2 linked regions of the Nothobranchius furzeri genome follow. The protein of the gene in region 1 interacts with the protein of each later gene in a pairwise test. Links are inferred from orthologs where the notes say so. Each region holds a gene or a part of one and is shown on either strand. Other genes may lie near its edges.

The links. The genes of interacting proteins can lie anywhere in the genome.
Region 2: the proteins of chd3 (region 1) and ptn interact in a two-hybrid assay, tested with the Homo sapiens proteins (2 studies listed by BioGRID and IntAct). The link is inferred for Nothobranchius furzeri from reciprocal best matches to the Homo sapiens genes CHD3 and PTN.

What each region holds. Positions count from the first base shown.
Region 1 is NC_091742.1:58,679,065-58,685,665, reverse strand, and holds the end of chd3 (chromodomain-helicase-DNA-binding protein 3), read left to right. Parts: intron 1-3,335; coding exon 3,336-3,598; 3' UTR 3,599-3,754; downstream 3,755-6,601.
Region 2 is NC_091741.1:42,128,784-42,136,703, reverse strand, and holds part of ptn (pleiotrophin), read left to right. Parts: intron 1-3,847; coding exon 3,848-4,009; intron 4,010-7,920.

The sequences.
Region 1 (6,601 bases):
ACTGGTACAACCTGATATTCCCCCAGTAGCTTAGCCCCAAAAACATTTAAAATAAAATAAAAAAAAACACAACACCCAGCTCTGTCTGAGCTACTCCTGCCCGCTCACTCACTTTATCTTGATTATTTATATTTTCTTTTGTAATTGTAGACTGAGACATCTGTCAGAAACATTGCGTTTTAGAGAGCCGGGGCCTATCGCTGAAAATGTCATTATCCTCGGGCCGCCTGAGTCCAAACGTGCCAAGAAAACGTTCAGACTTTGTACCAAGGTATTTTGAGAGGGACAGAAACCACAGCAGCTTGGTTGTGTAAACGTTGTTGTGACTTGTGAACTGGCACAGGGCTGGGCCCAGCGCTGGCTGTTCAGAAATAGTCGTTAACAAGCCGTGGTTTCTTCTCACCAGGGCGCCGTGCCTGAGCTGAACCGCGCCGAGCCGGGCTCAAAGGTGTACAGAGTTGGGTTCATGGTCCTGGTTGGGGTCATTCTGGTCTTTCACCCCTTCACGTTCACACACGATGAGAGAAGGAACGACAACATGTGGCTTAAAGGCCAGAAGTGACTCTTCGTCCACTCCTTAACTCATTCACTGCCAGCTGTTTTCTGATCAGAAAGCCGCTGAATGCAAGCATTTTTAAGCATTTTTTCTGTTTTTTGAAGAGTCACGGAATACTGAGCTCTGTGAACACGTAAAATACCAAAAGAAAGAGTAGACTCACTTCTTACATCAGGAAGAATCAGCGTGTTTCTAGCTTTTTCCGTTCTTTCAGAATCCGTTGTTGAAGTGTGAGCTGCAGAAGCTTTTCCGGTTTGTGCCTCGCTTTAGGCATCGTGGCCTCCCAAAACGATCCCCTAATTCATGAATTGTCAGCTTCATGATCACATGACATGTGACACACACAGATGAAAATCAACTTTAGAGCCACAATGTTTACTCTCAAGGTGCGCAAGCTCGTTTCTAGGCCCGCCCTTGGATTGACGACTTTAGCAGTCAATGGAAGTGAATGAGTTAAAGGTCTTCACTGAGAAACCATGTGATACTTTTCTTTTTGAAGTACATTCAGTCGTTCTGTGTTGCATAATTTTGCTTAATGTGAAATTCTTCAACCCCTATCACCCGCATTAACTGCAGAAACTAAACAGAGCAAAAAAATTGGGTCAATAAAAGCCAGTCTCTTCTATGTCATGGAAAATTTGCATTCATGACCCCACCCACCTTAGCTTACAACCGTGGGAAAGTGAGAGTAGAGCGCATCTCAGCCAGCAAAAGCTAGCTACCTATTAGCAACTCCACAACATGGCGGAACACATTTGAGCATGTGTTATTTTTGGAGATAACACATCAATGTTGGCGTTTTACTCAAGACAGAAGTGCTGTACTGTTAGCCAATCAGATGCAACACGTTTGCATTTAATGAGTAGGACTGCAAACCTCACAGATATCGTATACGTAGACACCCCATGGCTATAGTACCAGTGGGCCGCCATCTTGGATGGGTCTCCTGTCGTCCTCAGTGCATTCTTTTCAACTGAGGAAGGTGTTTAACCAACTAAAAAACGCATAGCATTATGCTTTTTCAAAAAATCTGACATGATAGTTAAATTATGAATATTTTTACACAAAATAACTAAAAATATAAAATCCCAGCAGGTAGGCCAGAAAAGTCAACAGTAACCCCACGTGATCTGTTTTTAATAGTACACCGGTTGCTGCTACTGTAGGGTGCACAACAAACAGGCATAGTTGTGTTGACTCCTGTTGAACTTAGAGAGTGAGGAACTCACCCAACATGGCGCGGTTACGCTCTGCAGCGCCCAATGGGTCGTCTACGTATTAATGTCTATGGTAAACCTTGGCGCCCGCCCATTTTTATGAATGACATCTCTTCTCTGATTGGCCAACACTTCCACTGCCTCTGCTACATCCATTCATTCATAGGGAAAAATGTGATGTGTTAACTCCACAAATATAACAAGCCCGGATGTGTTCCGCCATGTTGTGGTGGTTGCTAATGCACGGTTAGCTTCTGCAAACCAAGACACGCTCTGCTTTCTTCTGACTACTAAACCAGTTAAACCTTCTGCGGTTGCAATCCAAGGTGGGCAAGGTTTTCTCTGACCCTATCGCTTTTCCGTCTATCTTCTTTAGACAGCCAATGCAGGAAATAGAGGTAGGACTATTTTCACATTCTGCATTCATGCGAAACCCAAAGTGACTGGTGGCATTCCATAAAGAACAAGTTTTACAAGGTTTCCCAGTGAATGAGAACATTAAAATGTATCCATGTTAGCTTAGAGAAAGACAAAACAAACTGAATTAGTCTTTAGATTTAAGTGTACAGGCATCCGTGTTGTTTTCCGTAAAAGTAAGATGTTCTGTAGTTAAATATCCTCTAAAAATGAACTAAATAAACTAGGTTTTGGCTTTTGTACCACATATTGTTAAAGGAGTTCTCCAAGGAGTTTCCAAAATGTCTCCAAATGTTCTCGAGCGAGAGGCAGGGCCTTGCATTTGTCACTTAAAAAAAATCTAAAATATTTAGCCCAACAATTTTCCTCACAGGTGTTCTCAGTCCAGTTCCTGTGAGAAAGAGCTAGTGACCAAGTTTTCTTACATGACCCAAACTTATAACGACGCATTGTTATTAAATCTGATTCCAGCTGAAATGTCTCAGACCAGTGAGAAACTGGCTTCAGTGTAATGTCCGGGTCAACTTTCTTTGGGTTTGTTGGTGTTGCTCTGAAAAATGTACCTCGTAATGAAAATGCATCCTAGTCACAAGAGAATCACTAGGTTCATTGCTCCCAGGCTTTGATCAATTATGGCTAACTGTGCTTCACACTTCTTATTGCTGAAAAATGACGAAAGTGTCTTCCAACGTTTTACAGGTCAGTTTGTGGCTGTTTGGTTGTTTTTGTTGGCCGAAATTAGCCTCTCCGTGAAGGTATCACATCATCTTCTGATGTAGCATTTTCAGTGAAGTGCAACAATGCACTGAACGCTCCGCAGAAACACTGTCTTGTGTTGGGTATCACAAAATCTGCAGACAAGTTTTGGAAACCCCATTTCTGCCATCAGGAAGTAATGTATCTGCCTTGAAGGAGTCCCACACTTTTTTTAGACAAAGCTTCGTCTTTTAGAGGTGCTTAAATTAAAGTGATGGAGTGAAGCGCATGGGTCTGCAAGCACCTGCCCCCACCAGCTCCGGTAGCTCTATCTCTGACCTCCCTGCAGAGGGACTAAATCTCTACAGGAGCCTGTAAAGTGTCTCATTATCCTGCTGCCTCCACTCTCCCAGCCTCCACTACAGTCTGCCGCTTGTCTGCCCCCACAGAAGCCGCTGCTGGGGCCACCGGGGGAGCTGCAGGTGGAGCCGCCGGGGGCCAGTTCACCGCTGGGGTTTTCCAGAAGACCAAGGAGCATGATGTGGTGCAGCGGCAGCGGGTGGTGGACCTCTGGAAAGACGGCAAGTCAGAGGGGGCCATTGGGCTGGAGCTGAGAATGCCCAAGTCCACGGTGCACAGCATCATTGTAAAGTACCGGCTCAGCAACACGGTGGAGAATCTGCCGCGCAATGGGAGACCAAAGAAACCCTGAAAGAAATCGGGAATGTAGCAAAACTGTAAAAAAGAAGGAATTGGATCGACAAACGAGGCACTTAGACACTCCTGGAATGAGAAGAGCATAAAAGGAGGACAGCTTGATGTGAGAGGGCATGAAATGCCAATCAGTTAAAAGATCCAAAGAAAAAAACTGGAAAAGGTGCTGCCGAAAAGAGGCTCTGAGAAAGAAAACGATACGTTAATGCATTCACGGGTTTTTATAACAAATGCAGCAAAGGAGCACTTTTCTCTCCACAGATTTCTAAGACTTCTTTTGTTTTTTTTCTGTTTCTCCGTCTGAGCCAAAAGACCCCCCCCCCCCCCCCCCCCCCCCCCCCGGATCAATTCTTCATCCTGAGGCTGACTGAACAAGCCTGTCCCCTCGCCCTGACCCCGTACTCCCTCATTCCTCCACACTCCTCCATCTCCACACACGCACACGCTTTTGGATCTCACACACAAAATAAAGCCCTGCAACAAACGTCGTCAATGTGCCGAGAGCAGGGAGACGAAACCCGGAAAGAACAAAGCCGGATCGAGATCATCAGAAAGAAAAAAAAGAAAAGTCTTCCAAATTTAAAGCACTTCTCCCCGTGGACTCTCGCTGTAGCATTCCTAAGCTCAACCAAGCGTAGATGCAAGATGTTAGAAAGTGGTGTGTTGCTTAATTACCAGCAACTCTGCTCTGTTCCAAACTGACAAACTGCCAGTGACGTAATGTATTACAATTAAAACATTTCTTACTGTTGCACCTTTTCCAGGGAGAATTTTCCCTTAAAGGGAGATATCACTCCTCTAGCGTTTACATTTCCTGTTCTTAAACCCCGTCTTCACTGAAGGGAGTATTTATGAGCTCTTCCTCAAAGATGAAGCCTGTAATTTGTCACTGAAAGAGAAAAACGAAATAGAGGAGAGACTCTCTTTGAAGCCATAAGAGGCTTTTTTTTTTTTGTTCCTCGATCGTCTTTATTGTGACAGAGTGATGGATTCCACGCTGTGGAAAATGTCCCCTGATCCCAGAGAAAATAAAACACTCTGGACTGTATCTTTGGTGTTTCCTGCTCGTTGTGTGAGCAGTAGAGCTGTACATCACCATGACATGCTGAGTGAAGAAACGGGACTAAATTATCAGTTTCGCATTCAAGCCTTATGAACGTTTTGGAGCTAAAAGTGAGTGGTATTTCTCTTTGAGTTTGACCGTAAAGGTGTGGCCAGCAATGACAAGATGGTCTGATTGGGTAGGAGTGATGTGTGTGTGTGTGTGTGTGTGTGTGTGTGTGTGTGTGTGTGTGTGTGTGTTTGTATTTTTTTTGTGTCAGTATAGCATTAAAGGGACTATAAGGAAGTTTGACAGCCAAAACATGTATAGAAATAATAAATTTCTTCTTCATACATTCTCCTGCAATGCCCTGGTCCTGTAGAATGAGCCCTAGCATTTTTACTGTTATTGCCTGTTTTTCTGTAAAATCACAGAAAAAGAGAGCTGATCGGGTCGAGCAGGCTGCTTCATGCGCATTCACGCTCAGGCATCGCCCGTAGCATTTGCTATCCGTAGCTTTAGTCTCTGTCGCTGTTCCTAACGCCTAGTGATAAACCTAGCTACATTTCTGAGGTCCCTTAGCTACTTTCTTCTAGATATTTCCTGCAAATTAGCAACAAAATAACCATTTTCGCTTCAAACCGTTCTTTGGTTTGACGTTGTTTCAGGTGTCATCAAGGATATAAATGTACAGTACTTTAAATGTAAATGTACTGTAAATTTACAGTAAGACGCCCAATTTTTTTTGAGACTCACCGATCGGCATTGAATTCACAGATAAAAAAGATGTGGGTTCAACTTTCATTTTGGAACAATTTTTCAAGCAAGGGAAGGGAATGATCTGAGCATGCAGGAGGACTGACTCATCATAAACCTTTGTCGGCTGTGCTGAAGAGAAAGGTACAGAACCAAATAATTTAATTGATTAGCTGTGCGTTCTCCTGTCCTCTGTCCTCCGGGCCACACACACACACATGACTGTCTCGTTAAGGAGTGTGCACGTACAGCATGTGCGCCTCGTGCACGAGCCTACTATTGAAGCTGCCGTTACGCTTTTGGCCTGAGGGGGCAATCGCAAGCTTAAAAATTCAAAAGTCCGTAAAGTCCCTTTAACAATTAAATTTCAAAACAACAGAAAGGTGATAATAAATACATTTCTAGTTTCCATATTTAAAGTTGGGGTTTTATGGACACGTTATAAACAATATCTTACCTGTTAAACTACAACCTCAGTTTGGCTTTACCTCATTTTCAGATTGATAAGCTAATGACTAGTTACAAAGTGTCTTATTTCAATTCCAATGTTAAGAAAATGTATGCAACAGTTTATGCAAATGCGGTTTTATTCCCCTTAATGTAAATTCACGATGTAAAAAAAATGCTACAATAGCTAGCTCCTCGGCTAACCTCTGTAGCAACTAACTACTGATTTAAATGTAAACAACCAGATGATGTCAAATTTATGGTTATGTTACATCTTATGAATCCACTTTTGCATGAACTGTTGTGAAATTTAGGAGATAAGAGTTGTTTTAGGCAGCAGAAACAACACAGCCTATCCATTAGCCCATCAATTCAGCCAGAATTGATGTTTGTTTCTCCAAACTTTTTACAACAGATAAAATATTATTTATCCACAGAACCCACCAGGAATCATCTGAACTAATTTTTTAACCCGTTTAACCAAAATTCAAAAGTCTGAATTTAACAAAAAATTATTACATTGAAAAAAAAAAGAAGATAACATAAATTTTCATATAACTTTGCAGATACCCAATGTCGTGTTTTAGCATTCAGCTAATGTTCCGTCAGGGTTTAGTATCAGTTTCCCACTTTTACTGGTGAATATGCTGAAGCATCAAAACAGACCTAAAAGAACGTAATGTAACATTTAACCAGACCTGCTACCTCGTGAATATCTAAAGCAGTAGTTCCCAAACTTATTTAGCCGCGCACCCC
Region 2 (7,920 bases), on another chromosome or scaffold:
ATTTGCGTAGAAATAACATTTCATACTTTCAGCTGTTGTGTAGTTATGCCATTCAGTTAAATTCAATTCAAGTTTATTTATAAAGCGCCAAATCACGACAAGAGTCGTCTCACATAATAAACATTCCAATACAGGTCAGTTCATTAAGCCAATCAGAAAAAGGTTTCCTATATAAGGAACCCAGCAGGTTGCATCAAGTCATTGACTAGAAGTGAGGCTTCAAAAGTGACTTAGTGAAAGTCTAAACAACGAGTGTTTAAAATTATAACTGATAGTTCAACGAGAACCAATGTCAAAAGAAATGCTGTAGCTGCTGCCAGTGCCTCATTAAGGTCACCATGGTAACCATGCACTTGTGCGTCTCACTTGCTTAGAGCAAAGTTAATTGGAGACAGGCAGGAAAACAGCTTCAGAAAGAAGATTCAGACAAACGTTGGTGCTTAAAGAGAAGATGTCTTAAAGAAATGATTGAAGACTAGTTTATGAACTTTGATGTGTCTCCATGCAGGAGATGCAGCCCGTTTTGCAATGACAATTTTCAGCTAGAAAATACTTTTGTTCTGGGAAACCCTGGGTGTGTCCTCTCTGCAGTCTGGGGATATTTGAGATGAAACCATGAATCATGAAGCAGTTAGAACATAAAGATATCTATGTTCGTATCTACAACTCATGATACAACAACTGATGTGGAGGGAAGACAGTTTTCCCAAAATAATTTAAGGTAAATAGTAGTTTGTAAACAAAGTAACATGTATTAAAATGATCTTTCAATCATGGAAAGTTACTTAAGTTTTGATTGATGCTTCTACTGTAAAGAAAAGCATACCAGAGCTCTAGAACTCCAAAGAAAGGAGGGATTCTCTCACCTTTCCCCAAAATCCAGATTTTTTAAAGGGAATTTTCAGTTTTCTAAAATGTGATCGCTGTATGATGGAATGCTAGCATAAGTCGAATTTACACTCATCTCCACTGAACTGCAAATGTCAATGTATAATTAACATCTGTGTTTTTTTGCTAGAGTCACTCTTGAACACACTTCCCTCTGCCATGACAAATACTGACTCATTTACATTATTCAAGGCACACCTCAAGTCACCTACTCAAGCAAGCCTATTCCCTTTAGACTCAGGCCTAGTCCACACGTAGCCGGGGTTTTTTGAAAACGAATATCCGCCCCTCCAAAAACTTGCATCCACACCACCTCGTTTAAAAACAAACTCTGTCCACACGTACCCGGATAAATACGTTGTTAAGGACATGCCAGACCTGTAGGTGGCAGTACTTCCCCCGTTCTTAACCTCGTCCTTCGTCTGTGGTCTTCCACAAGGAGCAGTAATTCCGCTTGCAAAAACAAACAAGCAAAAAACGCTTGGACAATTGATAAAGCGAGCGCAGCTCTGAGGGCATCCATGATGCCGGCTAGTGTAAACACAGGTCGCACACGTGATGTCAGCATTTTTTGTCGCGGAAAGTGACGTTGCGGACCTTAAAACTCCGGTTTTGTCCGTCCACACGCAGACACCCAAAACGGAGAAAACGCAGATCTTCACTTTGGCCGGAGTTTTTAAAAAGATCCGTTTTCATGTGAAAAAACTCTGTTTTCGTGTGGATGACAGGCCAAAACGTAGAAAAATATCTACGTTTTGGCAGATCCCCGGCTACGTGTGGACAGGGCCTAAGATCTTAAAATGTTTGGATTTTTATGTATCCTATTTGCTCTTATTGCTCTACCAACCTCTGTGTTGTTTGTAATGATTGTATCCCTGTTTTTTTTACTTGAAGTTGTCCTTGGTTTTGAGAAAAGTGCCCTCGAATTAAAGGGGCATTATGGAAGTTTGACAGCCAAAACATGTATAGAAATAATAAATGTCTTCTTCTTACATACTCCTGCAATGCCCAGGTCCTGTAGAATGAGCCCTGGCATTTTTACTGTGATCGCCTGTTTTTCTGTGAAATCACAGAAAAAGAGAGATGCTCGGGTCGAGCAGGCTGCTTCATGCGTGTTCATGCTCAGGCATAGCCCGTAGCATTTGCTATCAGTAGCTTTAGCAGCAGAGAGAGAGGTAGTGCCACTTTGTCAATGTTTTTATTTGAGACTCTCCGAACGGCATTGAATTCACAGATAAAAAAGATGTGGGTTCAACTTTCATTTTGGAACAATTTTTCAAGCAAGGGAAGGGAATGATCTGAGCATGCAGGAGGACTGACCCATCTTAAACCTTTGTCGGCTGTGCTGAAGAGAAAGCTACAGAACCAAATTATTTAATTAATTAGCTGCGCGTTCTCCTGTCCTCCCCCCCCCCCCCCCCCCCCCCCCCCCCCCACACACACACACACAATGGACTGTCTCAGCTGTTATTTTCGTTAAGGAGTGTGCACGTACAGCATGCGTGCCTCGTGCACGAGCCTACTATTGAAGCTGCTGTTACACTTTTGGCCTGAGGGGGCAATCACAAGCATAAAAATTCAAAAATCCGTTAAGTCCCTTAAAGTGTATTATTATTATTATTATTATTATTATTATTATTATTATTATTATTAGAGTTGTGGGGAGGGGAGTACAGGGATTGGCCTGGCATATGCCAGTCTTGGAATCTGATTGGCCACCCCAGGAGCCACCTGACTGAGCTCACTGAAGTGGCTCATTAACCACCACAGCAGCTGCAAGAAGAAGAAGAAGAAGAAGAAACAATGTGGCGTTCATGAAATCACTTAAATGAAAGAACTGAATAATTTTGCCCCCCCCCCCCCCCCACACACACACACACACACACACACACACACACAAACAAAAAAGCATGACCATAGGTGCCACCATGCATAAACAAGTGCCCCACCAGGGGCCCCGTATGGAAAGGCTTGGGCACGCCACTGTTAGCCGGACCAAAAACAGAGAAAACATTTGTAACTGAATGACTGCAGAACAGTACTAATGGTGCTTTATTGCATTGTTACTCCTGATAAATCTACTTTCAAATACTCAGCAGTGTCTTACAACCTTTAATATATTTCTTCACGTCACCTCAAAGAAGGCATTAGTTTCCTGACAAAACCTCAATGAGCGGGGAGCTCTCTATCTCTCCCAGACATAAATTACGCCGGGCTTTTTAAAGTTGGTTGCTCAGGAGGTCCCTGTGGGATTCCTGCAACAATGGCCCTGTCACTCCCTCTCTGCGCTCTCCTTCCCTCGGTGTCCTCACCTCTCCTCCTCGCCTCTGATGAGCACTCTGGGATCTTGGCAGCGGTGACACGAGCTTTTATGTGAGAGGGAGCTGACGAATGAGTGTCACAGCCTCGAGGGAGCACAGCTGGACTGACGCCAGAAAATAAAGGAGAAAATACGCAAACACACATGCTCTCTAAAGTCACGTCTATAGCGTGCACCAGCTTCTGCATCCCTTTTGACTGTGTGGATGTGCAACAAGAATATGTGCTTTCATTTTACTGATCAGCAGCTGAAGATTGGATCTGCCTTTTTCAAGATGGAGAAACTAGTTTTCCCAATTGCATTCATCAGTTGGCGCATGTCGTCATGTAAGGAACATCAGATCAAAACTGTAAGGTGCCATCTGTTTCTACAGGGAAAAACATCCTTTGTTGCAGAGATAAGCTTCTTATGAAGTCGCTACATGGAGGTATCAGCCAATTGCTCATCAAAGAGCCATTAAAGGTCTATGACTCACAAATCCCTTAGCTCAGAGCGCTCCTTACAGTCAGTCACTGCAGTTAAAACAAATATAGAATCAGCCTTGTGTCGTTTTACAAGCTTTTCTGTCAGTTCTGTCCTTTTTCAGTGCTTCACTAAACCAAGCCATCTGAATTCTGCTTTTCTTTAATTTTTCTTTAGGGGAGTGCAAGTATGACTTCCAGGCCTGGGGGGAGTGTGATCTGGCGACAGGCAAGAAGAACAGGACGGGGGTTCTGAAGCGAGCACTGATGGACGCGACCTGCGCCGCCACCGTCACGGCAACCAAGCCATGTGGGAAAATCCTAAAGACCAAGCTGCAAGGTGAGAAGAATAAATCGTGGTTTGATAAACCCAAACCCCTCGCTGCACACTTTGAGCTCATCTGCAGCCTCATGGACTCGCTGAAGCCATGCTGATGAATCACAGTGTCTGCAAAACCGTGGCACCAGGGTCTGAAAAGATAATTGAGGTGTACTGCTCAGCATTGATACACTTTTAAATAATATACTTAATCAAATGTGACTTGGACATTGCTTGGTGTCTGACTGTACCTGCGGAACCTCCTGCACTGATTTTGTTTTCTTCATCTGCACTGAGGAGGTGTGTCTAATCAACTCTGCTGCCATTGGCTGAATGTGAGCAGGCAGTACAAACAGTCACCACATCATTCTGGAGCAGAAATGACTTTGTGCTCAGACCAAACAGTCTCATGAGTAAGAATTTATCACATAGGAGCAATCATCAAGTTTCAAGAAAAACACACTCATCATACAGAAAATAACAGAAAAAAAATCACTCCTTCATCTTCTAAAACTCTTCATCCTCAGCAGGGTAGTAGTGTCTAACTCCAGCAGTCAGCGGGTGAGAGATGTGGTACACCTTGGACGAGTTTCCAGTCCATCGCGGAGACAAACAACCAGTCACACACTCACACCAAGGGACAAGGAGTGCCCAATCCTGGTAGCCTGGCAAGGCATCCTATATATGTGAAAATAGAGTCCGGCCATGACCCATAAACAGAGCAAAGTCATGGGACAAAATCTAGGGTTGTCTTTCAAACTGTCTCCACATGCCATTGGACAATGAATAATGTGACGTACTCAACACTATGGATGTAAGTCTACGGGTCAGTCTACCACAGACTGTCAATGGAGATGCAAATACCTCCTGTATTGTGTCAGGCAGCACTGAGACATCTACAATTGGTCCAGAATTTGGCAGCCATATTCCAGACAGGGATGAGGAAATCAGCACACATTACTCCTGTGCTGGCTTCATTACACTGGCTCCCTGTAGGTTTTCGGGCTAGGATGAAATTTCTGTGCTATGTCTTCCGGTTTCTTCATGGGAACCCTAATGGAGTGTGACTAAATCGAAACGCAGAGCAAAATCATTTTGCTTCGCCTCCTGTCTGTCTAGATTTCTAGGCTACAATCCTGGTCCTAGAAGCCCACTGTCCAGCATGCTTTAGTTATTTCTGTGCTCCAGTGTATCTGACTCTATAGTTGAATCACCTCTTCAGCAGATCACAAGGTTCTGCAGAAGTCTGTTAATCACCTGCTGGTTAAAATCAGGTGTGTTGGAGCAGAAACACAACTAAAACATGAAGGATAGTGGCCCCTCCAAGAGGCAGGGATCGGTTTTTTTCACCGTTGGGAGGAAAGTGGAACACCTGGACGAAACCCATGTATAGAGGGGAAAAACATGCTCTCCATGGAGAAAAGCTGCAGCTGGGATTTGACCTTCTGACCTTCTTGCTACAAGGCAACAGTGCTTCCAACCACATTGCCACACAGCCCAGACAAAAATATTCATCATCTATCAGTGAAAAGGACCTCAGATAAGAAAAAAGGTTAAGTAAAAAGTTGCATTAAAATATCATCAGGAAATGTGAAAACAGTTCCAACTGATCCTGTTGCCTCCAAATTATGAGGTTATGTTCCTCTTAAAGATGCTCGAAGTTTGACTGGTTTTCCTCAATCATTGAGATTGTTGTGTTTCAACACTCATCACCCCTGAGGTCATTTAGGGTTCGGGGTCATCTCTCTCTCTCTCTCTCGTGTACACCCAATGGCACCCCCAATTGGTGGCCAGTGGGTGGCAATGGCCACCCCTAGAAAGTTGCTGGCCACCTCTATCAAAATATTCTGACTACACCATGTAGTAGATTTGAGGTGTTTCTCAATGCCAAGGAACCTTGTCTTGATGTTTTCGTTTATTGAGATCCTCATAAGCTTCTGCCTAAATGCAGATGCTAGTCTTCCTGGGGTCTCCTACATTTTCATACAATGTTTACATGATAAGCTACATAAGATGTCTTGGTCCTGCCCCGGTTGCCTAGGAGATACTCATCAAGAACCGCCAAGACGTGTTCCAATGTTCATGTTCTACCGAGGCGTGTGTTCTTCGTTCATTAGCCGTTTAGCTAGCTGAGCAAGGGTACATGGGAGGTGTCTTGTAGCCTAGCCTGATCCCAGAATACACTGAGGTATTTTCAAAAAGATGGCGGATCAGAAGCCGGCAGCTACTTCGGGAGCTAATTTCAAGTATAAATGTCAGTCAACTAATTTAAAATCTTTATTTATTTTTTTTAGATCCAAAGAAGCTAGCTATTGTTGGTTAGTTGCTTAGTAGATGCAGCTTTGGTGGCTAGCGGACAGTAACTCGCTTACATGTTTAATTTAATAAACATATACACTATTTAAAAAGTTAAATGCTCGTTATACGTTTACATTGAAACATATAAGTATAAAATATAATAGTTATCTCACGTGTCACGTAACGTTACATGACCTCCGTGGAAGCCGCGGTCACGTGATGCAAGTCTGATTCATTGAACCATTTTCTTTGACCAAGGAAGGACAGCATCCTCGTAAGCAAGGCACCTGGCCTCTCAAGACATCACCTTGCTGAGCCAGGCGCCTTGACTTTGAGAAACACCCTTTTTCTCTTTCAGTGTCCTTGATGAAGTATCTCTCTAATAATCTGAGAAATTGAACAAACTGGTTTAAACCAATTGACCTTACATTGTTTTCCCATTCGTTTGCTTTTTTTTCTGTTAATTACGTGCAAACATACAGGTTTTTTTCTCCATCAAGATCTCATGTAACTTTATTTGCTATGAACCTGTTTCCACAAAATCCCTCTCAGCAGGTTCGTCCTTGACAACTTCAGTACCTTCAAGAATGAGCTGGGATGTCACAAACAGCTTGTTTTAGCCACACGATTCCTTAAACCAAAAGAAAACAAATAGATGAGCTATTTTTACGTTTGGAGTGTTTATAGAGGCAGTAAAACCTACATAGCAAAAGGGGAGTTTTCTTAATAGTCCCCCTTTAAACCTTCCTTTGTATGATCAGACTCATCTGTTTCTTTTTAAACTAAAACTCTCCTTCAGTAAAACACCAGAAGAGCTTCAGACTTGATCTGAATCTGTAATTGTTATGTTTATGTTTATTCATTTAGCAGACGCTTTTATCCAAAGCGACCTACAATTTTAACCTATAGGGCATGTTGTGATCTGTGGAGGAAACCGGAGTACCCGGAGGAAACCCACGCATGCATGGGGAGAACACGCAACTCCACGCAGAAAGGCCCCAGCCGAGTTTTGAACTTGCGACCTTCGTGCTGCGAGGCAACAGTGCTAACCACTGCGCCACCATGCAGCCCAGCCCAATTGTAAACATCTAAATAAATCTCCTACTCATTAACTCATTCACTAAAGTCATTTGCATTGTTTTACAGTTTGGTCATCGGAACGAGCCCCCGCGCTGAGAGAACAAACATCTCAGCTCTGAAGCTGATCTTCAGCCGCATACGTCACACATCACGTGATCAGGAAGCAGAAAATCTGTGTGTTAGGAGATCGTTTTGGGCCGCCGCTGTAAAAAAAAGTGAGGCGTGAACCGGAGAAGCTTCTGCCGATCACAATTCAACAACAGATTATGAAAAAACGGATAAAGCTCAAAACTCGCGGATTCTTCCTGAAGTAAGAGGCGAGTCTTTGTTTAGGTTGTTTTGCTGTCGACATCTTCCTAGCGCGCACCGTTCTGTGACTCTTAAAAAAACAGTAAAAATGGCGAGAAACACTGGCAGCGAAGGCCTGTAGCGATCAGGAAACGGCTGGCAGTGAATGAGTTAAGGCAATTAAGTGGCTGCTTAATTGCACAGACCAGTAACTACAGGTGATTTCTTTGTTCAGACATATGGAACTTATTCAGATTTTCCTGTTT